Solanum lycopersicum: one gene and its partners. The protein of the gene in region 1 binds, or shares a complex with, the protein of each later gene. Links are inferred from orthologs where the notes say so. Each region holds a gene or a part of one and is shown on either strand. Other genes may lie near its edges.

Region 1 (3,471 bases):
ACACTCTTTACTAATATATTTATTTACTTTCGTTAAAAGTTATTTTTGAATTAGTGTATATACATGTTTTTAACCAAAAAAGAGATAATTTATTGATTGTAAAACCCATGTGTTTAATTAGAAGAAGAATTTATATTGGAACTTAATTGGAAAAAAAATATGTAGATATGTAACAAAGTTCACTTACTAGCCTCCATACTTTATGGTGGATTTTTTTTTTATATATATATTTTTGGTACACTTTTAAGACAGTATCAAGAACTTCTAATGCTATCTAACAGTATCAACTCCTTATCTAAAAAATTATTCCTTCCTTTAATTTATTTGGGTGGGGGGGGGGGGGGGGGGGGGGGTTTAGAGGAAGCATATTGAATCTTCACAAGTCACTATTAGTATATAAATAGCTTCAATAAGAGTTTCAAATTCATCATCAATTCAACAAGTTATCAATTCTCTTATATTACATTAATCTTTTTTTTTCATTAATTAAAAATGGAGTCATTGAAAAAAATGGTAGCTGAAAAGCCAGTGGTTATGTTTAGCAAAAGCAAGTGTTGTATGTGTCACACTATAAAGACACTTATATCAAGTTTTGGTGCTAATTTAACTGTATATGAATTGGATGAACTTCCCAATGGGCTACAAGTGGAGCGAGCTCTGCTGATGCTAGGCCGAAGGCCTAGCGTGCCAGCAGTGTTTATTGGACAAGAATTAATTGGCGGTGCCAATGAGATTATGAGTCTTCATCTAGAGGGAAATCTTGTTCCTCTACTCATGAAAGCTAAAGCTCTTTGGCTATAGTGTGTATATATATATATACACTTTTTTTTTTGCTTTACATATCTAGTATGCGAAATTTACTGGCATGATTAGTTCAGACTCACGCTAGTAAAACTACAATATATCATGTAGAAAGTGCATATTAACACCTTGTAAGTTTGGTTTTTCTTAATGTTTGTGGAATTGAGCATCTTTTATTTAGTATGCTCAATGAAAACTCTGTTTTCTCAAACAAGTGTCTTTTAATGTATCTTTAAGCATTGTAATAATAAATTATATACAATGCCATACTTCAACATGACTTGTCATTCTGTTTTAATTATTTTTGTTAGATGCTTGAGTATGAAGTTGTGTTTCCTCGAGATGTGAATCCAGGATTTAAAGTTTGTAAATTCGGAATCTATTCAAAAAAGTAAAATATGTGATATTTGTATAATGATCCTGCCTTGTGAATTGAAAGCAAGATAGATTTAAAAAGGGTTAAAAGAACAACTTGGCTCTCTTTTATTTGCCACAAAAAAGAAAATAAATTACATTGACCTCCACTTCAACAATTCAAAAAACAAGTTACGAGTTAGCTCATCCTATAAAATTAGTTTAAATATATGTCAGCTAACTTGAATATCATGATAATTATATAAAAAGGAAAATATAGAGACAAGGGGTGTGTTGCGTTCCGAACACTAACTCACAAACTCATTCTTTTTGCCACCCAACTCCCAAGGAGTATGATTGTATTTATAGGTGGCAATGAGCGGGTAAGACTGAATTTGTTCGGGTTAAAAATGAGCTGAGTTAATAAATAGACAGGTCATTGATCCGCCCAAAAGTTACTTGGACTGAAATGGACTAAAACGTGGATCATAACTCAACCTGTCCAACTTACTTTTATAATTTTTTTAGTACCTTAAAGAATGTATATAAATTGTCTTGAAGTTAAAGAGTACAAACGTCAAAAATCAAAATTATTGATATTTCACAAATGTAGACAAAAAAGCAAACAAAATGTTTAGTTATTTCCTCAACCACACAGAAAGACAAGGTGATGAGAAAGCCCCTCCCTCTAAGACTACTCAAATCAGACACAAAACAAATTTCCAATTCCATGGCGTCAGCAACAGCTCCACCAGCTCCATTCACCTTTCTTACAAGGAACCAAACCAATAATGAGCACAGAACAGATACCAGATGGTTGACAACAAAACAAAGAAGACGCCGTGTTGGCTTACAAGTTTATGCAAAAGAAGAAGGGGCTACTGGGCGACAACGTGCTCCTCCTGGTGTTGACACAAGAATTCACTGGGAAAACGAAGATGAAGGATGGGTAGGAGAGAGTAAGTCACGGTCCACACAAGAACGAATCAAAACAGACGAAAAGAATCTCTTTGATGAAAAATTCTCAGACCTCCTCAACAGTTCAGCTAATTCTCACTACCAGTTAGTCTTCATTATCTACTTTGCTATCTTCATCTTATCTCTTAATGTGTGGCTCACAGTTCATAATTCTAATGTTTCAAATTCAGGTTCTTGGGAGTATCTGCAACAGCTGATCTAGAGGAAATTAAAGCTGCATATAGGAGGCTATCAAAGGAGTATCATCCAGACACAACTAATCTTCCTATAAGAGCAGCATCAGAGAAATTTATGAAACTAAGAGAAATTTATGATGTCCTGAGTGATGAGGAACAACGGCGATTCTATGATTGGACACTAGCTCAGGAGACAGCAAGTCGAGAAGCAGAGAAAATGAAAATGAGGCTGCAAGATCCACGCATGCTGGAAGTAGAAAACTGGGAATCTGTTCCAGACATGGTGGATCGACTTGGTGGAAGGAACATGGAGCTGAGTAATCAGGCAAAAACTGCCCTCACATTTGATATCTTGATTATCATCTTTTCGTTTTGCTGCATTATATATGCAGTAGTCTTCAAGGAACAATATTAACAGGAACAACTATGTGCATTATACAACAACAATATTCTATACTGTCAATACGCAGTTCATACACTGCAATGACAATGGATTGGGAAACAGAACGACTAGAGCTTTAGTCATAAGTATAACTATAGTTTATTTCTATTGAGATTACAAATTTACACTATTGTCTTTTCATGAGATTATTGACAGCAAATGAAGAAACAATTCTCTCATACATCAATAAAATCTTTCATGATGGGGCTATGTTTCTCAATGTTAGCCTGCCTACGCCAATTACTCACTGCATGCTTAACGGTGTCACTGGCTTTCTGTATTTCCTCAGCAGAAAATTTGTGTTCCACAATGCCTAGTGGACCAGGTTGTAGTACCTTAACTACAGTTTCCATATCCAGCTCCAGTTGCCTGTTAAAACAAACACCAAAATAATGCTGAAAGACATGGAAATTCATATTCACAATTTGATCTTTGTGTCTCATTCTGGTCTAAAAGAGAATATTAGGAAAATCCAATTGAAGAGTGCTTTGAAGCGCACGTTCCTATCAATCTGCATTTAGATACCTACTCTTCAATCAATAAATAATAACAAAGAACAAGAAAACACCAACGGTCATGCTAATTGCTAAATAGAAACAAGAGTTTCTCGTTTCTTGATAACACAACTCCGTAATTCTCAAGAGTTTGATAACAACTCCGTAATTCTCAAGAGTTTGATAAGTTCTAAAATTTCACTTACTCTTCAAATATCAAATGAAT
Region 2 (3,753 bases), on another chromosome or scaffold:
TATTTTCAAGATGTATTTTTACGCATGTCATAATTCAACGAGTAGCATTATTACTAATTTATAAGTACTTATTTTTTCGCTTAAAGTTTGATCAAGTATTTTTTGTATTTAAAATATTTAATCAAACAAACTATTAACGACCCTTATACTAATAGGGATTACAAAAGAATTCTAATTATTTCTTTTTTTCAGTTAAGTTATAATTCGTTTATATAATTTTATCATCCCAATCCATTCATTTCTCATCTATTATTTTTTGTAAATTAAAGGTGTTGCTTTAATTTGTAAAGCAATTATTATTAGTCCAACTATGTGGGAGCTAGAGACATTAGATATTTTAGCTGTAAAGCAATTATTCATGCACAATCAATAATGTATTATTTTTGCCTAAATTGCTTTATATCTCTTTATTTATGAAGATAATTTATTGATGATTTGATTTGTTATATCAAAAACTAAATAACATGTATTTCATAATTTTAAAGAAGATATAATTTGTTCACAAAAATACTCTCCAGTCATTATAACAAAAATAATCATTAATTGTCGTTAAATATGTATTTTTAGCGGCAATTGACACTCTTTGTATATGTCCATAAAATATTTAGCAACATTGGTTCTAATGATACTTAACTAATGCCGGTAAAGACTTTCGCACTCTTTATCAATGTCAATATTTAATGCCGCCAAAAATTATTTTTGTTGTAGTGTAGAAAAATAACATCATAGACTTCAAGGGTGTTTCTGTCAGTTTCATTATTTTATTTTGGGATAACTAATCCTGATACCATTACTCTGCTCTATGACGGTGATAACTTATTTCAGGAGTGTATAGTTGAAAAATTCAGCATAATTTAAATGGTTTTTAGTGTCTAATCTCAATGTTGAACTCAAATTTGTTTTGATACGAGAATTGAATGCCTCAAGGGAAAAACATAAGAAATTTGTTCGATTGATAGAAGATTGATCCCAACCCGTCAATGAAATAGGGCTACTAGTGTTCAGTCTTGATTGATTCCGAAAAAATGCGAACCAAGTAAAACTAGTTTCAAATTGAACAAGGCCAACCCTAAGTTAAACAAATTCCAAAATTGGGCCAACTAGAACAAAGCCTCTTACACCATTGACCCAACAACACCAAAATTTATTGGGAAAAAAAGAGGATAAAATATTTGCCAAGTCACCAAAACCTAAGGTCCATTTTGGATTTAGGGAAATCAATTAATATCCATCCAAAACACACACAAAAACCATCAAACACTCCTTAGATTTTTTTTTTCAACACAAAAATGACCACTTTCACAAATCCTACAACTTTGTTCCATCCAAAAACCAAAATAACCAAAACTCATCACACACAATGCAAGACACTACCCAAAATCCAATCTAACTTATCAACTAATGAACAAAACTTCTCATGTAGACGCAAACTCATCGCGACTTTTCTAGTCACTCCATTGACACTAGGCCTACAATTCACCCCTTTAGCATTAGCTGAAAATTGGGGCGTTCGATCATTCTTAAGAGAACATTTCTTTGAGCCTGGATTGTCCCCTGAAGATGCAGTAGCACGAATTCGTCAAACAGCAGATGGACTACATAGTATTAAAGAGATGTTGGAGACTAACTCATGGAGGTATGTATTGTTTTATATACGACTTAAATCAGCTTATCTTAAACAGGACGTGAAGAATGCCTTATCCAGGGTGCCTGAAAGTCGAAAAGAGTCTTATATTAAAACTGTCAATGAGCTTACTGATAACATGGCTGAGGTAACTAACTGTCCTTATTTTCCCTGTTCAGAATTTTTCGAGGTTCTATTCAGTGTTATGGATATTTCTATGTATTTTCTTCGTCTGCAGTTTGATTACTACATTCGAACACCAAAGGTATATGAATCTCGTGTATTCTATGAGAAGACGTTGAAATCAATTGATGAATTGGTGGGATTACTTGCATAATAATATCATCAGGCTCAAAGGTGAGTGAATGTTGTAGCAGAAAAATCGCGTTGGTTTAACAAATAAACTGATCGAAAAACGTTGAAATTATATACAATTTTATGTTCATTTATAAGCTTGGTCTGCGAGTTGATGAAATTGGAATCAAGATTACATACGAGTTTATGAGAGAATAACTATTAGTTGAATAAACGTGATATTTGAAGATGAAAACATTGAAGTAAGGAGGAAATCTTTTCATTATGTGATACAACTGATGAAAATCTTGATACAATGAAATGCAACTGATGAAACTAACATTTACAAACACAATACACACACAAAGGCTAGCAATTGCTAGTGTAGCCAACATCTTCAGCGCCTTGATAAAGCGATAGATGACAAAATTATAAGTATAACCATCAAGGCCATTGCACCAAAAGAACCGATAAGGGATCCAGCAGAACGTTGACAGAAATCTGTATACTGTTGGCATATCGAAAACCAGTTAGTTGAAGTGTTGCCATTGTGTGCCAAATACACAATCGCGGCTGCTGCTGATGCTCCAGATGTGAGGAAAACCAGCATTATCTTCAAAAGTTTTCGCAAAGTATAAAAGATATCAGTACAACATCATAACAAAGTACTAAATATGAAAACTTTAGCAGAAATCTAATGTATTACCGCGTCTAGAACAATGAGCAAAACTCTGCTCTTTCCTGCTCTACTTCTGATAATGTGAAAGATTGAAATAGTGATAGAAAGTGCAAGATATACACAAACTATAGAATTCGAAACCACGAAGAACCTTCAATCAGAATAAGCAAAACAAAAAAATGTGTTAGTTAACCTTTATACTGTTCTATTTCATGTAATAATATGTTTGCAGTTTTGCTTACTTGAACGAGTCGATATCATCATACTGAGCTTCAAAATTTACAATCTGTGTACTGAATGGAAGTGCTTGATCTGCAGTACCCATTGCCACAGCACTTGCTAAGGTTCCAACAAGTGCAACGATACGTAAAACAAGATCAAATACAGAGATTCCTCTGTTCACTCCATGAACTCTTTTGGCCTTTGATCCCTCTCCAGTTTCAATTGATACTGCCTTCATTTTTTCCTTTTAGCTCAAACTTTGAAACTAGAATGAAATTTTGTTGTTATGATTTGTATGTCAAGTGTGATGCGAATTTATACTAACAAGTGAACCAAATCATGTAACAGAGTTACAAATAGTATTAGGTTTTGATGACACATAATTAGTTGTTGCTTTTGCTTATTTAATCAATGAAATGTACAACTTTCTGGTTCATGATATTCCATAAAGTAGTTAAGTCTTGCATTAACTTGCTACACTTTTTACCTGCTCTACTTTCTTCCTAACATGTATTTTGAAAATGTATTTTTTCTCGAGAAAATGTATCATTATATACGAGAAATCGCGATATTAAAACAGCACACGACACGTTGCAATCCATTTGAGAAGGGTAGTATGTATGCATACGTCACTTTTAACTTTATGGAATTGAGAGGTTGTTCCCGATAAAAACTTCAACATTCTTTGTCCTATCTTTTTTTTCTTTTTTAATGTTTTGCAAACACACTTTATGATCATTGATTTATTATATTAGGTCAATTGATAATATACTAATAACAATGGTTATGGTCCTAAATGGTTTTTTGGATTAGGCACAAAGTTCTACTTGAACATAAGAATCAAACATGAGAAATTAGAATACTAGAAAGTAAAATAATGAATAGGTTGACTTTTTGATTAACAATGAGAAATAAAATAAAGAACAAGTTTATG
Region 3 (4,153 bases), on another chromosome or scaffold:
GAACGCCACGTTTCTTGACAAAGTCAACCGGATCAACCCTAGAGCCTGACGATCCTTGAGTTTCCACTTCTCCTCCGTCATGGATTCCGGCTTCACCCCGGTCAACGGTTCGTGAAAATCTTTCTGGTACAGATAATCTTCGATCTGCATCTTCCAGAAACTGAAATCGGATCCATCAAACTTCTTGATTCCAAGCTTCGAACTATCCATCTTCTGTGATCGTGTTGAATCTCCTTAGCTCTGATACCAGTTGTTAGGATCGATTCACGCACACACACTAGATGATTGAAGAACACAAGAACTTTCAAGAGAAAGAGATGAGAAATCTAGAGAGAGAGAGAGAAAACTCAATATTTCGTGGTAAAACCCCGTGAGTAAACTTCTACGACGGTGAGGTATATTTATATTAATAAATCAGAGTATTTTTGGTTACAAAGAATAAATAGGAAAACCTAAAATTAATCAGGCTCCACTACCTAACACTTATTTACATAAGCTTGTACTCTTACCACAATCATAGTCTACTTGATACATTGTACTCTTTATAACATTATATATATATAGAAGGCTTCAACGTGGAGCTCATCATGGGAGAATATTATTATACACAGGTAATAGATGATTTCAAACTAAAATGTTCAATTTTATAAAAAATAAAAAGTAATATTGAAAAACAAAGGTAAAATGTCTTATTTTTGTTCGACTTCAATAACTAAAATATTAATATTATTTTGTCACACTTCAAATACATGTTCATTTTTTGGAGTTTTAGAAACTAAACCTAATGAATCCTTTTTTAGAAAACACGATTTTTGAACAAATAAAACAAAACTCACATCAAAATTGGGAGTACTCAAACATCAACTTCATTGAAAAATATATTGAGAAGACCTAGAATTTCATTCCTTTCTCGTCAGATTAAAAGAGGAGAAAACAAGAGGAGAAAAAGAAAATAAAAAAAATAAGTCAAGTTTAGAGTTTTCGAACTTTTAATGGCAAAGAAAAAACACAAAATTGAAAGTTTTTTTCATTTTATTTGTTTGGAAGATGAAGAGTCACATTCTAGATCTACAAATATAGAGAGAGTATTTGAATGTTTATTTAAAAAGAAGTGGAGTATATTTGATTGAGAGTGAAACGTAAAGTGGTCAATTTATATTTTTATTCATGTAGTACTAATTATTCAAGTATAACTTATTTCATCTCGAACTCGCATAAAATAATTCATGGATTGACTCATAACTTATACATGTATTACTTCAATAGTTTTCTAATTTTCTAATGAAACATAGAATTATGTGTGTTAAAACATTATATCTTGACATAAAAGAGCTATCAAATATAGTATAACTTATGTAACGTAACTCAATCCTTATCCAGTAACCAAACGATCTCGCACTTTAAACCATGGTAAAAATTAGGCTATTTCCTAATATTATACTCTAGTAACAACTTTTTTACCATTTGTAATGGATATGTTTACCTAATCGGTCTATACAAGAGGGTTGAGGCTCGTCATCTCCGTCACACACCATCTTTGTCCCTCATTTTCACCAACCACACACACTCTCTCTCTCTATCTCTATTGCAGTTCAACTCGCCGTACCGGAGAACTGAAATCGGCAACTATGGCAGCTACATTTGCTTCAGTGGTGAGTTTCTTTAACCTCTCAATAATTTGCAGTTGAGCTTTGTTGTTCAGTGTTGCCTTCTAATTTGTAGTAATAACACTAATTTTTGGAAATAGAGCGTTGTTGTTGTTGTTGTTGTTGTTTTAGTTGACTAACGTTTCTCCGTTTACAGTCGAATTTAGGCTCAATTTCAGTTCCACGAGTTGCGAACCCTACATATGCTGCTTATCCGAAGTTGCTGAAATCTTCATTCTCATCGTCAAGCTTATTTGGTGGTTCGTTGCGTCTGGACACTTCTTCAAACCGTTCGGTTCACAAAAAAACCGGCGGTTCATCTGGTTCTATTCAAGCCGCGGTGGAGGTCTGTGCTCGCTCGCTGAGCTAATTTATTAGTGATTGCTCTACTGTTTGTGTGTTTCTTCTTTGATTTCGCCGAAAATTTGATGATTGAGTCAATATGTCTAGCGTTGAGCTAGTAAATATGCGTTCTAGGGTTTCTGTGAGGAATAACTTTTCTGTTTAAGTTCTAGAGCTAAATGTAAGGGATAAGTAGATGAATACATTGGTTGCAGATGGCATGTGTGGCTGAGTGTTACTTCGTTGTCTCATTTTATGTGAGAATATGTTAAATTAGGTTTGTATATAGTATTGGTGATGCTAGAAGAAACTATGAACAACTTTTGGAAAAAAAGTTTATATCGAAGGTTGTGAAAAGAGAAATTTTAGTTCTTCATAATATTTGTGAGTGGAACAAGGACTTTTAATACTTACAACTTGTGAAATTGGTATAAAAATATAGAGATGTCAAATATGACCCAAAATGAGAAGACTGTCATATAATGCAGTGTTTTCTTTTGTTAAGTAGCAAAGTTAATTGTGGAAGCGGATTTTTAAGTCTTGGAGCATTGATTAGAATGGCTGTGGTTCAGTTTTCAGCAAACATGGTGTTATGTTGCCTTTTGTATGGGACTAATGTTCCATAATTTGTTCATTACTTGGTTGAAGTTTTTAATAGATCTGAATGTATTTATTGAAATCCAGGTGGCGGATTTGCAATCCAAAGTGACAAACAAAGTTTATTTTGATATTAGCATTGGGAATCCTGTTGGAAAACTTGCTGGGCGAATTGTAATTGGATTATATGGTGATGATGTGCCACAGACAGCTGAAAATTTCCGTGCACTCTGCACAGGTTCTTTAATAGATTTTATGTTATTAATATTATTGTCGTCGATATTCTTATGACTAGTGCTGCTATCACTACTACCTTTATTGCAGTTTTTGTTCTCATTATCATTATTGCTATAATATTCTGCCTTGTTGCTTGAGCTTCATGCATATAATTCTTTCTATCATTTATGTTTAGCTTATAGTTTGGATTGATTTCTTCCGATCAGGTGAGAAGGGCTTTGGCTTCAAGGATTCTGCATTTCACCGTGTTATTAAAGATTTCATGATTCAAGGGGGTGATTTCGACAAGGGAAATGTAGGTGTCTCAACACCTGGTTTGCTTTCTCTTTCTTTCTTTTTTTTTTCTATTTGTTCCTCTAATTGGCATTCTTCTTGACACACACATCCTTCACCCAGTTCATTGTATTTTCTGTAGTACACTTGGTGTGTTTTGGGTGCTTATCTTTTAGCCTTTTATTTTGCTTGTTTCACCTTGAGCAAGATTTTAAATTAACAGAAATGCAAAATTCTGAATTAGTTCTTTGCCTAGTGTTTTCTTGTTCCTGTTTGGTGGTTTATCCTTCATCTTTTGGATCCTCCATGGCTCCAATTTCTACCATGGAAAACCAGAGAAGAAAAGGTTGTTTTTCAGTTTGTTTCGGTTCTGTGTTTGTGAGACTTCCCTGATGCTTGTAGCAACGTAAGATCTCTGTATTCTAAATTATCAATTTTCATGGTATAAACTTTTTTTCAAAAATAAGTAATGAACTTGCATGATGTAACTTTGCTTGTTCTATGTTTCTGAATGGGATGTCTTCTTTGATTAGTAGTTGAATGTGTGAAAGAGTACATGAGCTAAGATGCTCAGTGGAATATGTACTACTGCCATATTCAATAATTCTGTTTAAGTGGAATGTGTTATTGCACACAACTTGACTGCTCCAATATTTAATATGCATAGATTGATTGAAGAGTGTTCTAGTGTTTGCAGTTCATAATTTGGAAAATTTTCACTTGCCATTCTGGCATATTGTAATCTTCCCCCCATGGATTTAATTTTTTATTCGCAGGGAACCGGTGGTAAAAGCATATATGGTCGTACCTTCAAGGATGAAAACTTCAAGTGTAAGTTGGATTTTCTTCTTAAAAATTGGTTTCAAACTTCTCCTTGTGGTTAAGGCAATGGACCCCTTTGGTTCAGATTGTCAATTGTGTTCAATGTTCTTTTGTGATGAAAAATCCTTGTGTAATTGCAGTGGTTCATACCGGACCTGGGATTGTTAGCATGGCTAATGCAGGGCCTAATACCAACGGAAGCCAATTCTTCATTTGCACTGTAAAGGTATGTGGAA
Region 4 (3,000 bases), on another chromosome or scaffold:
TTTGGTTGATTCCTGGTTCCTGGACAAGCTTGTCCCTATCCCAAACTTGTTATAACTGATGAGGCTAGTCTCCACACTTCCCCATGAATGAAGTAGTGGGGACCCTTACCTCTTCTTGTTTGCCATTTTTTGTTTTTGGAATGACTTCCTTGATATAGCTATATTTTCAACCGGTGATTTTGCCAAGTATTTTTACCTATTATGTCACCTCTTTCTCTGAATGCAACTATTTCAGTATTATTTTAATATGTTCTTTACAATAGATGTAGATCATCACAAACACACAACACTCTAATCTTGAAACTTGTGAAATGGGTCATATTTCTAAACATGCAGTGTCAGAAGAAACACACCTATGTCTGCCCCGTTTTTGAAGCAACTGGCAACTGTCCCAAAGGTTCAAACTGCAAGCTTCACCATCCGAAGAACAGAAGGAAGGGAGCGAAAAGGAAAGCTTTGAGCGAGTTAAAGAATGGTCGAGGTCGTTACTTTGGCTCTCCGCACATTCATATTTCTGAGTGCATAACAGCTGGATCAGAGAAGCCTTCTGTCAAGGGGAATAATGACATATTCCTTGAAGGGAAGTTTGTCGATTTTATTAGCCTAGATGGTAGTGACGAAGAGGAACAGACTATTGATCAGAGAAGCGAGGAAAAGCCACTTTGCGAGAGTGGTCCAGCAGAGATGCAACTGGATGATCTCGATGAGCTTATTAAGCCCGTGCGTCTGATAAATAGGAATAGGTCTGTAGGTTCATCTCCCTATATAGATAGCCCAAGTGATATGACCACAAGCTATGTATCAGAGTAGCCTCACCATTGTAAATGAGGTTGTGTAATTAGGTTTATGTAGTGTTCTGCTAGTGCAGAGCAATTTTTTTTCTTTTTATTGTTAGGCTTTTAGTTAATTACTTAGGTATAGGTCTTAGGATTAGGCATATTTTTTGTTTCGCAAAATCTGTTGTGTGAGATAGAACAAGAAAACTGTTGTTATAGTGAGAGAATTAAAGGAAATGAAAATCTTATCCCCTATGTACAAGTCTTTATTGGAAGCTGTTTGACTTTTGTTCTTTAACAATTTTCAAGTCAATCTGAACTCTCTTATTGAGTCTTTATCACAGGTGATAATGAACCTGTAGATTCAATCAGCTGGTGTTATGTTTATTTTACTTTTGACAGGTAAGCATTCTTTTTTTGTAGTGATGAATACACGGATAAAAAAGATTGTTTTTAATAGATCCACCACCATACGAACTTCTGAACTTAAATTTTTTGGTTTTGTCTATATAAGTGAAACGCCCTGCATACTTATCTTTCATGGCTCGGATTCACTAATTAACCAAACCTTTAAACCTGGTTTAACAGGGATAAAAACGAAAGTAATTTAAGTACCTCAAAGTGAGTAATTTGTAATTAACCTTTTATTAAGCACAGCCACAGAACAAAAAAAATATAAGATAATAAAAAGAAGCCATATGTAAGCAAACATTTCCTATCCACACAAAAAGGAGGATATATTAATATCCCAATACCAACATTCAAGAAAAGGCCATAAAAATCACACATAACAAAACACTAGGAGAAAGGGGGAAACATGGCAGCAACTTCAACATACATGGCTTCAACCCATTTCAGCATGTTAAGTTGGAGCACAAAGGGAAAGAATAAACAACTCAAAAGGAGAAACTTCTTCTCAGTTTCAGCACAGCAAGCAGAAGTTGAAGAGTTAAAACTAAAAAAAGAGGAAGAAAAGAAAGAAGAAGAAAAACAAGAAGAGGGGGCAATGAAGAAGCCAAGGCCAGTAGAACCACAAATAAATGTGCAGAGCAAGAACATGACCAGAGAACATGGAGGACAATGGCTCAGTAGTGCTACTAGACATGTTCGAATATATGCAGCTTATATTGATCCCGAAACCTTTGCTTTCGATCAAACACAAATGGATAAACTCACACTCCTTCTTGACCCTACTGATGAATTTGTGTGGACTGATGATACTTGTACCAAAGTCTATTCTTACTTCCAAGAACTTGTTGATCATTATGAGGTAATGAAAACTTCTCTTCATCAATACAAGCTTAATCATGCAATCACTCTTGTACCAAATGGATTAGAAATAGAAATGCTAACTCCAATAACTTTTTATGATCTGGACCAGGGAGCTCCATTGACGGAGTACACGCTTCGCCTGATAGGTTCAGACATAGAGCACTACATAAGAAAACTTCTCTATAATGGAGAAATCCAATACAACATGAATGCAAGAGTTCTTAACTTCAGTATGGGGAAACCAAGAGTTGGGTTCAATTACAATGGACAAATGGAAGATGTAAACCAGTAAATTCAGGTAACAATGTTGACTATATTGAAACAATGAGTAGCAAAAAATGCAGTTGTAACAATGTATAAGAAACTTTCACCTTCTCTGTCTGTTTTGAGAACTTTTCCCAAATGGATTATACACAATACAAATGTTATCTACCTAATCATTGGTGGCAAAAGGGTATTTTATACTGTGGTTTTCATATTCCTAATCATCTAAGCATTGTATCAATACCCCCAATCAAAATTGCAATAGCTTCAAATTTGTTTGAGATTTCCTATATCTACACCACTCCATATATTTAAGCTTACCTCATCTATATTCAACCTACTTTATTATAAAATTATTCGTTTTTTTCCACAAAAATTTTAAAATAATATGTAAAACTTACTAGACTTTAAAACTAACACACTATATTATCTTACATACAAGATTATGTAAGAACAACTATTGATAATGTAAAAAAAAATGAAAATTATTACATCTTATAATTTAATCTTAATAACATAAGTATAAATTAATGATTGTAAAAATATATACTAGAATCTGTAACATAAACAATGGTGGCAGTGAGTCACTAACCGGAGCAATGTACACAAATATTTAATTGTGAAAAAGAAGAAGAAGAGAGACAGAATTTTCGTTCTTTTAAAAGGAGAGAAAATCCCTCTATTTATA
Region 5 (4,005 bases), on another chromosome or scaffold:
CAGAATGTCCTAAAGTGTCACATTGATAAATAACATATCTCCATATTCCTTTTCTGTTGAGAAAAAAGAACGAATATATATATTTCCGCTTCTATTAATTACAATTGAGAAGAAAATGGAACTAGTAACAATTACAGGAATACTTAATTACTATATGTAAGAGAACTGGAGGATGTATAATATTTAGAAGATTGCTAGGGGCATGGTGAAAATTTGAACAGCACTCTTCACAGCTTCAACATCAATATCAACCAATTTTCCAGTATTTGATGAAATAGTTGCACATTTCTTTGCTTCTGCATTGGGAACAAAACTTCTGGCCTTATCCTCAGAGCAGAATAGCCCAATACTGTACAGACAAAACCAAGATATATCAACCTCCCCACAAAGACAGCAGAAGGTGCAAAAAATTTCCGCGTCTACAGCTTGTAGTAGATGACATTACCTTGGTTTTCCACGTGCGTGAGCAAGTTGTATCGCAGCTGTATTTGTAGCTATCACTCCAGCAGAGTCATCAACAAGAGCAGCAAGCTAAGGCAGAGAAATATGCAGGGACTGTTAGTTTTCTAGTGCTCATCCCGCGGTATATAGACTATAGTTAAAGCTGCCACTAAACATGCAACAGAAGCAAACTACTTTCATTTGATTATACCCTCCTTGAATATGACTGTAAATTGTTGCCATTATATCTGTGACTCCAACCAATTTCTTCTTTTATGGTTGTTCAACTAAACACTGGTTGATCATCGGTCATTGATATTGTGAAAGTGGTTGAGAAAACAAACCTGTCCAGGGGTGGTTATGAACACTATACTAGCATCGTAACCAACTGCATCTTCCACATTTTCTCTTTCTTTTTCGTGTGGAATGACAAAAACTGGCTTGACTCCCCTGATCAAATGATAGTTTACAAACCATTAGTATAGCTCACAAATTTTCTTGCATTTGATGAAAAAAGGCTAATCAGCTAATTCGAGAACTAAAAATGACCATGTAGTCGAGTCGGCCCTTTTTCCGACAGAGAATAAAATACTGACATTATACCTTATCTCCTCTGCTATCTCAGCCCAAATCTCAATAGGGAGCAAGCTATCAATATCACCCCTTGACTGCATAGAAGCTTTTGAATCTGATTTAATCCCATGAATCACAATATATTTGCCTTTCTGTGCACCAACATTCTTATATTTTGCCTCTACAACCTCCCTAACCTTTCTTGAGATTGAAACTTTAAGTGGGGGTAAAGGTTGTCGAGGTACTTTACGAGCTGGTCTGCCCAACCAATCAACCATCTGACGGTACCTATTTCAAAAAAGTGTATGTAAACATGTTTATACAAACTTTGACGAAGTACAACTGTTGCACTTTTCAAACTCCCTATTTTGAAATGAATATTCAGTAGTCAAAAAGATCAAGTTATCAGTTGGAACATCTACTTACATATGATATCCGCCCTCGGAGAGGTTCATGCTTTCTGGTGTAAAAGTTTCTGACAGAAACAATCCTGCTCCTGCAGAATTCACATTTGGGTAAATGTAGCTAACTCTGTCACGAGCAGTCGACATAAACAAAAATACTGCATGTCCAATCCCTGCCAGTTTGGTTGACAAGATCATATCATAGTACCTACTCTGCAACAAACCATGCATTAAAGCAAATAACTTAGCCCAAAAAATGACTATAACTCTCTATTCATAATGCAGGAAGCAAATTCTTTTATCTCTATCTGACTAAACAAGACGAACAGCATCTTGAAGCTAATCTAAGCGATTCTTTTTCCAAACGTAGTCTGCTCAACTTTTGAATTATCTGCAAACTCATAAGATAACCATAGTTAAATCTTCGTATTTAACTAAGTTTCCATATAATGTTTGTTACTTTCTCTAATTTTAGGTGCTAATACATCAAGGCACGACAAGAATCATACTTCAAATGAAACAACTTGCTTAAACCTATGTTGCTCGTAGATTAATGTGTGTCGGATACTTCCAAAAGTAATGCACTTTAAAATCAACATTTTTGAAGAGTCCAAGCAACGTAGAATTTAAATAATTATGAATCGATGTTAATGTTAATGGAACGGCATGAAACCTTAAGAATTCCAAGCATATCCGTATACTCAGCTGGTTCAGGAAAATCATCATCCAGATCATAGGCATTAGCCCACCTCACATTTTTATTCATCTCAAATGTCTGTTTTCCCCTGGCTGTTGCAAGTATATCCACTTGAACACCAGGGTACCTATCCTTAATCATCTGAATTACTGGAAAGAACAGCAAATTCTCATAAACCCCACCATCAATAACACAACAACATCTCCGAACATCACCTCTAATTTTCAAACCCAACGAAGCAATCTCAACAGAGTATCCCATTGGGAATTTGAGAAATCCATATGGGTTATCAGGATTATCAGGTGGCCTTGGATCTTCATCTTGTTTCCCTTCAGAAAAAAGTGAACCATATTCCATTTCAGGATCATCACCATAGTCAAAAGGGTCAAGCCATGGATTTTTTTTCTTGGCATTGAGGCAAAAATTCCCTGATTTTCTGGCGGGAAAAGATGGATTGTGGTTCAAGAAAGGTACATTTGTGACATGGGTTACAGGAAAATTAGGTGGATTAGCAAAGAAAGGAGAAATGGAGTTAGATAGTAGAGTAGTAGAGGCAGCCATTTGAGTGTTATCATAAAATTCTGCAACTTTTTTTGGGGATAGCTAAAAACTATAGCAGAAGGTGACGTTGGATTTCAATGTGTGAAGGTAGTGAGATAAGTAGGTCCCCATTGTTGTCACTATGTTCCTGCCTCGTCATTAGCGATTTTTTGTCTCAATTTATGTCTATCATTTGTATTTTATATTAAATTAAATAATATCATATAAATTATGACGAATGAAAAAGTATTTTTTGTTTTTGTTTTCAATCGAGTGTATGGTAGCCATATTGATAATCTAACTAATTTAAATTGCATAAATTTGATTTTAAAGAGAAAATAATTTTTACTAGAATTTCTTTCGTATTCTGAATCAATATTTTAAAAAGTGAGGTGATTTATATCGTATAGGGCGAGGAGTAAATCCCTGAACACGGGGCGTAAGCCCCATGGGTCTACTAGGCTTAGTCTCATGTATATTTAATATTATAATTTTATTACTAATAAAATAAATAAAAATAAATCTTTCAATGATTATAATTCTTATTTGCAATAAATATTAATAATCAATAATGAAGAAAAATATATTATAATTACTATTTGAAAAATATTATTACACCAATAGTAAAAATATAATTTAAAGTAAAAAAAGTTTTAAATAATAAATTAAAACGTCACTATATACGTTTTACGCCCAGAACTTACGTTTTTTATGCTCAAGACTTACACCTTATGAATTTACTTCTTTCATTTACGCCCTGGAGCATTTTCGATATGGCCCTCCCTGAAACTCGCCCCAAAACGTTTTCAAAAACATCGCCCTGAATTAGCTTTTTGAATTGAGTTAGGTTTAATATATATATATATATATATATATATATTACATATTGATATTCCTTAGCTTTTACATAATTTTATTTTTTTAGATTTTGACACCCCTTAGATAAAATTTTAGCTCCATTACTGTCTGAGACGGAGAAATCCTATCTATGTTGTCAGAATCGTGAGTTATACTACTTGTGTTAATTAAAATACAAAGTGCTAGCAAATAACAAATTATGTATATTGTTGTTCCATCATAGGGAGAATCAAGTACAGTTATCCTAAAAACGATTGCTTAATATGCAATCAAGAAGAAAAAAAGATGCATGAAAAAGGAAAGGAACTTCACAAAATTGTGTAACAATTAAGTCAAAAAAGTAAAGATTATAAACAGAGTCAATTAATGAGATCAAAAGGAAAAAACAAAATATTATTATATATAGAAAAAGAGATAATGAGATCATAAAAGAGAAAAAAAAAGTAAATTCTTAGGCTTTGTTTTATTCACTAAACTAGCTTTGATATGTCA
Region 6 (3,945 bases), about 2.6 Mb from region 1:
TAAAAGAAAGATACAGTATACGTACAGTTGCTTAATAATTAAAGGAAAAATTATATAAAATATCAAATTATTAATTCAAATTAATGTTATAATCATACTTTGATTTAATTGTAACTCGTAGCAAACAATTGTCATTCACCTCTCTCCCCGACGAATTTCGCTTGCCACTCTCCCAGGTCTTGCTCGTCACTCTCCCTCGTCTCACTCACTTTATACAAAAGGCAAATGAATAAATTGTGTTTGTATTTGTATAAAGCGGGAGAAAATTATATGTACACATACATATAATTTCGTCATATACACTTATAATTATACAAATACAGATTTCCTCTACAAGTTCTCTTTTGTCATTCTCTCTTTCTCGCTTTATATAAACACAAATTACAATGTATACTTTGTGTTATATAACTCGAGAGAGAGAGCGATTTGATATACAAATGTTTTATTTCGATACATTGTATACAAATTCAAATTTTATGCAGATATACAAACACATAAAATTGAATTTAGAGGTTGTCAACGATTTATACAAACGAGAGGCTGCCAATGATTTAATGTACCATAGCAAGTATAAAATTTGGTATGGGCCGCAATTATACAAACTATAGTTATAGTATACAAATATGATTTTTTATGTTTGCTAAACCTAAACTTACTTATAATTAAATAGTTTCCTATTGAAATAATTATTTCTGTATGAATGTCGTCGATATTTTCCTCCTTTTTTCTCCCTTATTTTTGTCATAAGTTGGAAAAAAATTTAAAATTTTGAAATATTGGTGAAAATATTTTTTTAAAATAGTTTTAAAATAATTTTTATAATGGTAAGCAAAAAAAAAATCTGGTTTATGGCTAAGAGAGGCTAATTTATTTTGTTTAAAGCATTTTGAATAATCTCATTTAAATAGACATTTACGTTCTCCAATTCTGGATATGTACAATTACAAGCAGACATATAAATATGTATATAATTAAACAAGTAGACACATCCTATGTGACATCGTACGTGACAATTTGCATCCTATATAATGTCCTACGTGCATTATATCACGTAGTACGTCTGTTTATGTTTGTTCAATGTTATATAAATTTAAGTGTTGATTTATCTACAATCAAAGTTGAAAGACATAGATGTCAGATGAAATCAAGTTAAAAGGGGTCGGAAATTGTGGTAACACAATAAGAGACTAAATAGATATTAAAAAAAAAATATAAAACCATAATATATAATAGCCTTATCCACGTATAGCCTTAACCATTCAAAATATATGGATAATAAAGTTAGAAAACATAGAGTAAACAAGCAAGAACAGAGCAACACTACTCAACAACAATGGAGAATTCTTTAACACTTTCACTACTCTCCACAATTCCAGTTCCCAATTCAGTATTCTCAACAAAATGGAGTGTTCTTTTTCGAGGAAATCCATGTTCGATTTCCTCGAAAATTGGTACAAAATGTGGTGGATTTAGATCATCAACAAGATTGTATGCAGGACTAACAGAGATAGAACCAGATATCAACGAAGATCCTGTTGATCGATGGAGAACTAATGGCATTGACATTGTAATGTTTCTTTTCTTTTCTTCGTTGTTTTTAAATAATTGTAGTGTTTGAGTAAGTTTAATATCTTTCATCAACATAGATATCGAATAATTTTGATATAATACAAAATGTCCTTTTAACTTGGCTTTTTTTAACTGACAAATGTATCTATTTTTTCAATTTTATATAAGTCTCTATTTGTGTACATCGAAAATAAGAGGATATAGATGTAACTGAAACAAAATTGAAGGGCATATTTATATATTTATGTAATAATTTTTTTTTTATTGAAATTTTGACGGATTTATTTTAAGGCAGACGCATGTTAACTAATTTTATTTTATTTTAATTTGTTGCAGGAAGATTATGTTTTTGGAAAATACGATGATCATCATACGTACTTTGAAAGTGAAGATAAAAAAGGTACATAACAATATGTGTGTGTTTTTTTCGATTTAATTTGTAATTTGAATTGAAAAATATCTAAATTTGTCCAATGTATTATTATATGAATTCGATCAAGTTAGTCTTCGTTCGACTTTTCGTTTAATAAATCGTTTCATATTTGTCCAACGTGAAATTGGTGAACTCCACGTGTTCAAATTCTTCGAAAAACACAATATTTGAGTAGCTATTTTTACAAAAATAGGTAAATGTATTTATACTTAAACTATACTTAATTCTATATCACTTGCATTTTCAGTATCATTTTGGGGATCCATAGCAGAAGATTATGCTGCTATTGCACCCCCAACAGGATTTCAAGGTATGTAACAAATTACCATAATAATATGATCATTAACTTAGTCATTTACTTTTCGCACTTTGACTAATTTCACGAAATACTTTCCATCAGCAACAAGTATCAGCTAACTCTATCCATCTACCAACACCGATTGTGGTTCACTGGTGGGAGTGTTTCACTCTTAACCACAGGTCTCGGGTTTGAGTATTGGATATGATCTATTGAGAAAATCATGTTGGGAGCGTCACCCTCAAATATAGGACCTGCAATGTGCGATTCGAATTTAGTCGTAATTCCAATGTAAGCTCCGGACATCGGGTGGAAAAAAAAAACTCTATTCATCCACAGTGGATAAGACAAATGAAAGGATCACCTAGAATTTTTCTTCTCTCGCTGAGAATTGAACGTGATGAGACCTCGTGACTCTTAACCAGTTCATTGACCACTAGGGCACACCCTTGAGTGCTTCTTTAGTTATTTACTTAAAATAACTTATTTTTCTGGTGTTCGACAATAGGTATCATTTCATGGCTGTTTCCTCCAGCAATAGTTGCAGGAATGTACTTCAATGTTCCTGTAAGTTAATGACTAAATCTCTACTATATTACACATTTTTCGAGGCTCGAAAACACCCGTTTCCAGCAACTAAAAGTCTTGTATTTTCACTTCTTTGACAATGCAGGGGGAGTATTTGTACATTGGAGCAGCTGTGTTTACAATTGTGTTCTGTATCATTGAGATGGACAAACCAAGTGAAGCACACAATTTCGAGCCTCAAATATATAACATGGAGAGAGGTGCGCGAGATAAGTTAATATCGGATTATAACACAATGGACATTTGGGAATTCAACGAAAAATATGGTGATTTATGGGATTTTACTGTTAAGAAGGACGATATCATGAAACGATAGAAATAAAAAAGAACAACGAATTCATATGTTCTGAATATATCATTAAGGTATCTAAATGAATCGCGTAATGATCATTGGATTTCATCGATTACTCGAAGATGCATATGATCTGGTGTTGTTCCATGGTTGTACTATATGTTTCTTAACTACATTGAGATGAAAAAAAAACTCTAATGAACTCCCTAGCTGAAGAATTACACTGTATATATAAGGTCAAAGTTATATATTTCTTATTAGTATATGTCAAATCCCTTTATCAATTCTTTATATTTTGAATTTCCTTAATAAAAATTCTGATTGCGCTACTGCGATGAGAGTTGTATAAATCAAAGTACATAGGATGTTTAAAGTTACATTAAGAAGGAACTTAAGAGTTGAAAAGTTTGATTGAATGATGAGTGATAACTAACATGATTTGGCTTTTTTTTCTAATATTTTTTATGAATGTTCTGATATTGCTTGTTGTATGTGTAAATATACCTACTGAATTAGCTCTATGTACTACTTCCGTTCCAATTTAAGCGACACTTTTTGAATTTCGAGATTCAAACAAGTCTATCTTTGATCGTAAATTTTTATATATATCTTTTAATTATTTTGAATTGTCAATTATTACGACTTATATTACTTTTAACGTAGTTTACAAATATATAAATTTAAATTTTGAAAAATATTAAAGATTGTACGTGCAAATTTTCGATCATACTTAAACTATTTGACTCTGAAAAATGAAAAATATCA
Region 7 (3,718 bases), on another chromosome or scaffold:
CCCCTTGCTTCGTTGACAGAGCTTATGAATGCTACTAAGCGTGCTAGGAGAAGGCTGTAAGTTCTGATTTTTCCTGGCATCATTTCTTCATTAATTTCTTCATTTCATTCTCCACCCTCATCGCTTTCAGATATTGATACCAAGTACAGCATTGTTTACAGAAAAAAATACAGATAACTTATACTCCATACCACCTGTTCTTCACCTTCCCTTTTTACAGGCTGCTGTACACTGAGACTTTCCAGTTACCTGCCTACTGTATATTGTGTGTACACTATAATTTTATGAAAAAATTAATGGTACATTGAGACGTACATTTCGATATTCATTTATAAACCGACTCCATTCTATTCAATATGGAAGGTATTTTGTGTTTAACTGATATCATATTTCAGTTCTATCCTTCCCAGACCCCACTTGTGGGATTACATTGGGTATGTTGCTGTTTATTTATATTTCAGTTGATCTAGAACGTCTCTTGATTGTTACTGGAAGCTGTCTTTTACCTACTGAATAGTCCAGGATTGTTATATTAAGCTTCTTAAGAATCAATTTAACGATTATTTAGTGTCAACTGAGAAGCTGATTGAGTGATCTTTAAGGAATAATAATATATTTAGCAATAAGTAAATTCTGGAGGTGTGTCCATCTCATCTCTCTTCATCTCTGATGAGCAGCGGTCAATCTGATGCTCCACTTTGATTTACTCGTCTGGCATGTACTGGTCTGTAACTGTGGACTCGCCACTATATTCTCTCGTAATCCAGCTTATCAGACTGCAAAATTTGTTATTGGTTAGGGAATGTGTGATTACGCAACAGACCACTTGCTTTTTAGCAAGGTGGAAACTGTATCATCAAATAAAGATACGATACTTGGGAGGATTGCTTAAGTTCATATAAGCAAACCACCAGTCCATTCCGGATACTTGGGAGGATTGCTTAAGTTCATATAAGCAACCCACCGGTCCATTCCCCAAACCTCCGTGCAGTTAATTGCTATGAGTTTGTCCAAAATAATTTTCACCAGAGATTCTCATTTGAAGTGCAAGGAGGTTTTTTTAATAGTGTACCATAAAAGGTACTCATGAAATGATGCAAATTGCTGCTTTAGTATTTTGAATGATTTCAAAAGGCTAATTACCTTAATTAGCATCTCTGTTGGAAGCCAAGCTGGTGCAGTTGGTATTCCGATCCATCCAATCTGCAGCATAGGTAAACTCTCAACTTTGATCTCTTTATATATTCAGTGAAATTTATGTTTCGAGGTGTGTTTTGATATAATAAATTGAATTTCGAAAAAAATATACTTACAAGTGCATATTCTCCTGTCTCGAATATACGAATATCCAATACCTAAACAGATATATGATTAGTTTATTTTATAAATAACATGTTGTTCCAAATTGTATTTTGTTATCCCTTTTGACATGATCTATAGAGAAATAAGAAAATGGTACCTCACCACGGTCTTCATATATGTAGTCCAGACCTTTGTAATAAGGTGGATGATCAACAGACAAATACTGAAGAAATTTATACAAAAATATACAGTCAAATTCCAGTGCAAGGGTGTCCACAACTTCCAATTCAGATTATTATCATCATTCATAAGCATGTAGAGGATACAATGCTGATTGGTAAAAAATTATAGTATATATATCTTTATTAAAGAAGTCCCACTAAATAGGTCTGAGAAGGTAGAGTGTACATAAACCTTATCATTACCTCGTGAAGTAGCAAAAAAAAACAAAACTCACATTGATGCTATTCAGATACTTCTCCTTTTCCACCCTGACTATCTGACCTTTCTTCACTGCCAACCAAAACAAAAAAGCTAAACTTCTATAAACAAAAAATTAGTGAAATTTGAGACATTTTCATGAAATAGTACTACTCACTAGAATAAACCGGTTTTTTAGGCTTTGTTGCGGTGGCTGTTGTACTAGAAGAAGTTGTTGTTGCTGCTGCTGCTTGAGATTTTGGCTTCTCATTATTTTCTTGTGGTTCAGATGAACTATTTTCTGCTTTAATAACAAAAGGGCTATAATTAATCCTATTTTTTCTTGTTTGTGAAAAAGATGATGAATATATGAAGGAGGTGTGTGAAAATGCAGCAGAGAAAGCCATCTCTATAGTTTTTTTTTTTTTTTTTTGGAGATATAACTAGTTTAGTTGTGGCCAATATAAGTAGATAAGGGCATGCCCTTTTTCCCCCTTCTTCAACGGCCAGATTTGAATAACAAAAATTAGTCTGCTAATAAATGGGATTACTCTATTCTCGGTTAAGGATTTCGAGTTTGAATACTGAATTTCGATGTCATTTTTGTTGAAAATTACTGTGGACGTCCGTTAGAACTTTTATCTATGGAGCCAATTGGTTGTCACGGTCAAAACGACCATTTTAAAGGTCAAACCATCTTTTTAGTGATCCAGAATTTTAACGTTATTTGCCGAAAATTAACATAGTTAAAACCTTATCTATGGGGCATATTGGCCACTACAGCTAAAAAGGACCCATTTTCAAGGTTAAACGAGTTTAGAGTAGGTAAACCCCCAATTTTGTCGAGTGTTCTGTGCTATAGTCTATGAAATTTTTGGTGAATAAGAACTCTGACGTCATATTTTCTGAATTAACATGGATGATTGTTAAGATCTTATCAATGGAGTCAGTTAGTCACCACGATCAAAACACCCCATTTTGAAGGTCAAACGATCCAGAGCAGGTAAACCCTCATTTTTTTCAATTTTTGTTTACAAGTAGGTAAAAAACAGATTTTATCGATTTTCGTATGACATAACCCATAAATTATTTTTACCCAAAAATTCAAAACAAAATGGTCGAATTTTTTCATGGACGTCCTTTAAAAACTTAGAAATAAAACTAGCTCGTCTCGTGGAGAAAAATGATGCATTTTTAAGTTCAAACGTGCCCAAAGCAGGCAAAGACATATTTTACCAATTTTTATGTGTTATATCACATGATTTTCTTTTTGATTCGGGAATATAAAAAAATGGCCAAATTCTTTTGACATCCGTTAAAACCATATAAATTGAACCAGTTCGTCCCGCAGGGAAAAATCGTGCATTTTCAAGTTCAACTGAACCCCAGAGCAAGAAATTTGATAAAATTTGTCTTTGTCTGCTTTGGAATTTGTTTAAACTTGAAAATGTGTCTTTTTTCCCCGCAGGACGAAGTGGTTCCATTTTAAGGTCTTAATGGTCGTCTATTAAATATGCGGTCATTTTGTTTTAGGATTTATGGATAAAAAATATTATGGGCTATAACACACTAAAATCGATAAAAACTACCTTTGCCTTCTTAGGGGCTCGTTTGAATTATAAAATACATCATTTTTCCCCGCGGGATGAACTCGTTTCATTCCTTAGCTCTTTACGGACGCCATGAAAAATTTTGGCCATATTGTTTGGAAATTTTTGGATTTAAAAAAATTCATGGGCTATGCACACAAAAATCGATAAGATATGTCTTTATCTATTTTAGGGTTCGTTTAAACTTGAAAATGCACAATTTTTCCATGCAGGACAAATTGATTCCATTTTAAGGTCTTAACGGACTTCCATGAGTAATTTCAGCCATTGTTTGGAAATTTCTGATGAAAAATATAACACATAAAAATTGGTAAAATTTGCCTTTGCCTTCTTTGGGGCTCGTTTGAACTTGAAAATTCACAATTTTTCTTCGCGAGAAGAACATA

What was found.
Region 2: NAD(P)H-quinone oxidoreductase subunit T, chloroplastic (region 1) and photosynthetic NDH subunit of lumenal location 2, chloroplastic share a complex: the UniProt entries of both Arabidopsis thaliana proteins name them as parts of the chloroplast NDH complex. The link is inferred for Solanum lycopersicum from reciprocal best matches to the Arabidopsis thaliana genes NdhT and PnsL2.
Region 3: NAD(P)H-quinone oxidoreductase subunit T, chloroplastic (region 1) and photosynthetic NDH subunit of lumenal location 5, chloroplastic share a complex: the UniProt entries of both Arabidopsis thaliana proteins name them as parts of the chloroplast NDH complex. The link is inferred for Solanum lycopersicum from reciprocal best matches to the Arabidopsis thaliana genes NdhT and Pnsl5.
Region 4: NAD(P)H-quinone oxidoreductase subunit T, chloroplastic (region 1) and ORR share a complex: the UniProt entries of both Arabidopsis thaliana proteins name them as parts of the chloroplast NDH complex. The link is inferred for Solanum lycopersicum from reciprocal best matches to the Arabidopsis thaliana genes NdhT and NdhM.
Region 5: NAD(P)H-quinone oxidoreductase subunit T, chloroplastic (region 1) and photosynthetic NDH subunit of subcomplex B 1, chloroplastic share a complex: the UniProt entries of both Arabidopsis thaliana proteins name them as parts of the chloroplast NDH complex. The link is inferred for Solanum lycopersicum from reciprocal best matches to the Arabidopsis thaliana genes NdhT and PnsB1.
Region 6: NAD(P)H-quinone oxidoreductase subunit T, chloroplastic (region 1) and photosynthetic NDH subunit of subcomplex B 5, chloroplastic share a complex: the UniProt entries of both Arabidopsis thaliana proteins name them as parts of the chloroplast NDH complex. The link is inferred for Solanum lycopersicum from reciprocal best matches to the Arabidopsis thaliana genes NdhT and PnsB5.
Region 7: NAD(P)H-quinone oxidoreductase subunit T, chloroplastic (region 1) and NAD(P)H-quinone oxidoreductase subunit O, chloroplastic share a complex: the UniProt entries of both Arabidopsis thaliana proteins name them as parts of the chloroplast NDH complex. The link is inferred for Solanum lycopersicum from reciprocal best matches to the Arabidopsis thaliana genes NdhT and NdhO.

The regions. Positions count from the first base shown.
Region 1 is NC_090808.1:63,749,593-63,753,063, forward strand, and holds NAD(P)H-quinone oxidoreductase subunit T, chloroplastic, read left to right. Parts: upstream 1-1,448; 5' UTR 1,449-1,825; coding exon 1,826-2,217; intron 2,218-2,303; coding exon 2,304-2,724; 3' UTR 2,725-2,927; downstream 2,928-3,471. Other genes in the region: monothiol glutaredoxin-S2-like, read left to right, coding at 493-801; uncharacterized protein, read right to left, coding at 2,928-3,120. UniProt on the Arabidopsis thaliana protein: NDH shuttles electrons from NAD(P)H:plastoquinone, via FMN and iron-sulfur (Fe-S) centers, to quinones in the photosynthetic chain and possibly in a chloroplast respiratory chain.
Region 2 is NC_090804.1:2,507,927-2,511,679, forward strand, and holds photosynthetic NDH subunit of lumenal location 2, chloroplastic, read left to right. Parts: upstream 1-1,248; 5' UTR 1,249-1,289; coding exon 1,290-1,772; intron 1,773-1,862; coding exon 1,863-1,961; 3' UTR 1,962-1,981; exon of another isoform or gene 1,982-2,076; intron 2,077-2,176; exon of another isoform or gene 2,177-2,315; coding exon of another isoform or gene 2,316-2,531; intron 2,532-2,624; coding exon of another isoform or gene 2,625-2,748; intron 2,749-2,839; coding exon of another isoform or gene 2,840-3,057; 3' UTR 3,058-3,253; downstream 3,254-3,753. Other genes in the region: casparian strip membrane protein 2, read right to left, coding at 2,316-2,531, 2,625-2,748, 2,840-3,057. UniProt on the Arabidopsis thaliana protein: NDH shuttles electrons from NAD(P)H:plastoquinone, via FMN and iron-sulfur (Fe-S) centers, to quinones in the photosynthetic chain and possibly in a chloroplast respiratory chain.
Region 3 is NC_090800.1:5,016,467-5,020,619, forward strand, and holds the start of photosynthetic NDH subunit of lumenal location 5, chloroplastic, read left to right. Parts: upstream 1-1,353; 5' UTR 1,354-1,628; coding exon 1,629-1,652; intron 1,653-1,803; coding exon 1,804-1,992; intron 1,993-2,672; coding exon 2,673-2,823; intron 2,824-3,028; coding exon 3,029-3,117; intron 3,118-3,871; coding exon 3,872-3,926; intron 3,927-4,057; coding exon 4,058-4,143; intron 4,144-4,153. UniProt on the Arabidopsis thaliana protein: NDH shuttles electrons from NAD(P)H:plastoquinone, via FMN and iron-sulfur (Fe-S) centers, to quinones in the photosynthetic chain and possibly in a chloroplast respiratory chain.
Region 4 is NC_090803.1:56,432,396-56,435,395, reverse strand, and holds ORR (NAD(P)H-quinone oxidoreductase subunit M, chloroplastic), read left to right. Parts: upstream 1-1,483; 5' UTR 1,484-1,593; coding exon 1,594-2,046; intron 2,047-2,157; coding exon 2,158-2,340; 3' UTR 2,341-2,500; downstream 2,501-3,000. Other genes in the region: uncharacterized protein At1g21580, read left to right, coding at 337-810. UniProt on the Arabidopsis thaliana protein: NDH shuttles electrons from NAD(P)H:plastoquinone, via FMN and iron-sulfur (Fe-S) centers, to quinones in the photosynthetic chain and possibly in a chloroplast respiratory chain.
Region 5 is NC_090802.1:62,985,699-62,989,703, forward strand, and holds photosynthetic NDH subunit of subcomplex B 1, chloroplastic, read right to left. Parts: upstream 2,801-4,005; 5' UTR 2,677-2,800; coding exon 2,092-2,676; intron 1,632-2,091; coding exon 1,441-1,631; intron 1,303-1,440; coding exon 1,045-1,302; intron 892-1,044; coding exon 786-891; intron 532-785; coding exon 446-531; intron 350-445; coding exon 184-349; 3' UTR 50-183; downstream 1-49. UniProt on the Arabidopsis thaliana protein: NDH shuttles electrons from NAD(P)H:plastoquinone, via FMN and iron-sulfur (Fe-S) centers, to quinones in the photosynthetic chain and possibly in a chloroplast respiratory chain.
Region 6 is NC_090808.1:66,330,680-66,334,624, forward strand, and holds photosynthetic NDH subunit of subcomplex B 5, chloroplastic, read left to right. Parts: upstream 1-1,240; 5' UTR 1,241-1,333; coding exon 1,334-1,567; intron 1,568-1,905; coding exon 1,906-1,969; intron 1,970-2,249; coding exon 2,250-2,312; intron 2,313-2,808; coding exon 2,809-2,867; intron 2,868-2,973; coding exon 2,974-3,204; 3' UTR 3,205-3,445; downstream 3,446-3,945. UniProt on the Arabidopsis thaliana protein: NDH shuttles electrons from NAD(P)H:plastoquinone, via FMN and iron-sulfur (Fe-S) centers, to quinones in the photosynthetic chain and possibly in a chloroplast respiratory chain.
Region 7 is NC_090810.1:1,415,295-1,419,012, forward strand, and holds NAD(P)H-quinone oxidoreductase subunit O, chloroplastic, read right to left. Parts: upstream 2,227-3,718; 5' UTR 2,130-2,226; coding exon 1,901-2,129; intron 1,837-1,900; coding exon 1,760-1,836; coding exon of another isoform or gene 1,728-1,759; intron 1,526-1,727; coding exon 1,460-1,525; intron 1,356-1,459; coding exon 1,314-1,355; intron 1,204-1,313; coding exon 1,144-1,203; intron 777-1,143; coding exon 747-776; 3' UTR 501-746; downstream 1-500. Other genes in the region: uncharacterized protein, read left to right, coding at 1-60. UniProt on the Arabidopsis thaliana protein: NDH shuttles electrons from NAD(P)H:plastoquinone, via FMN and iron-sulfur (Fe-S) centers, to quinones in the photosynthetic chain and possibly in a chloroplast respiratory chain.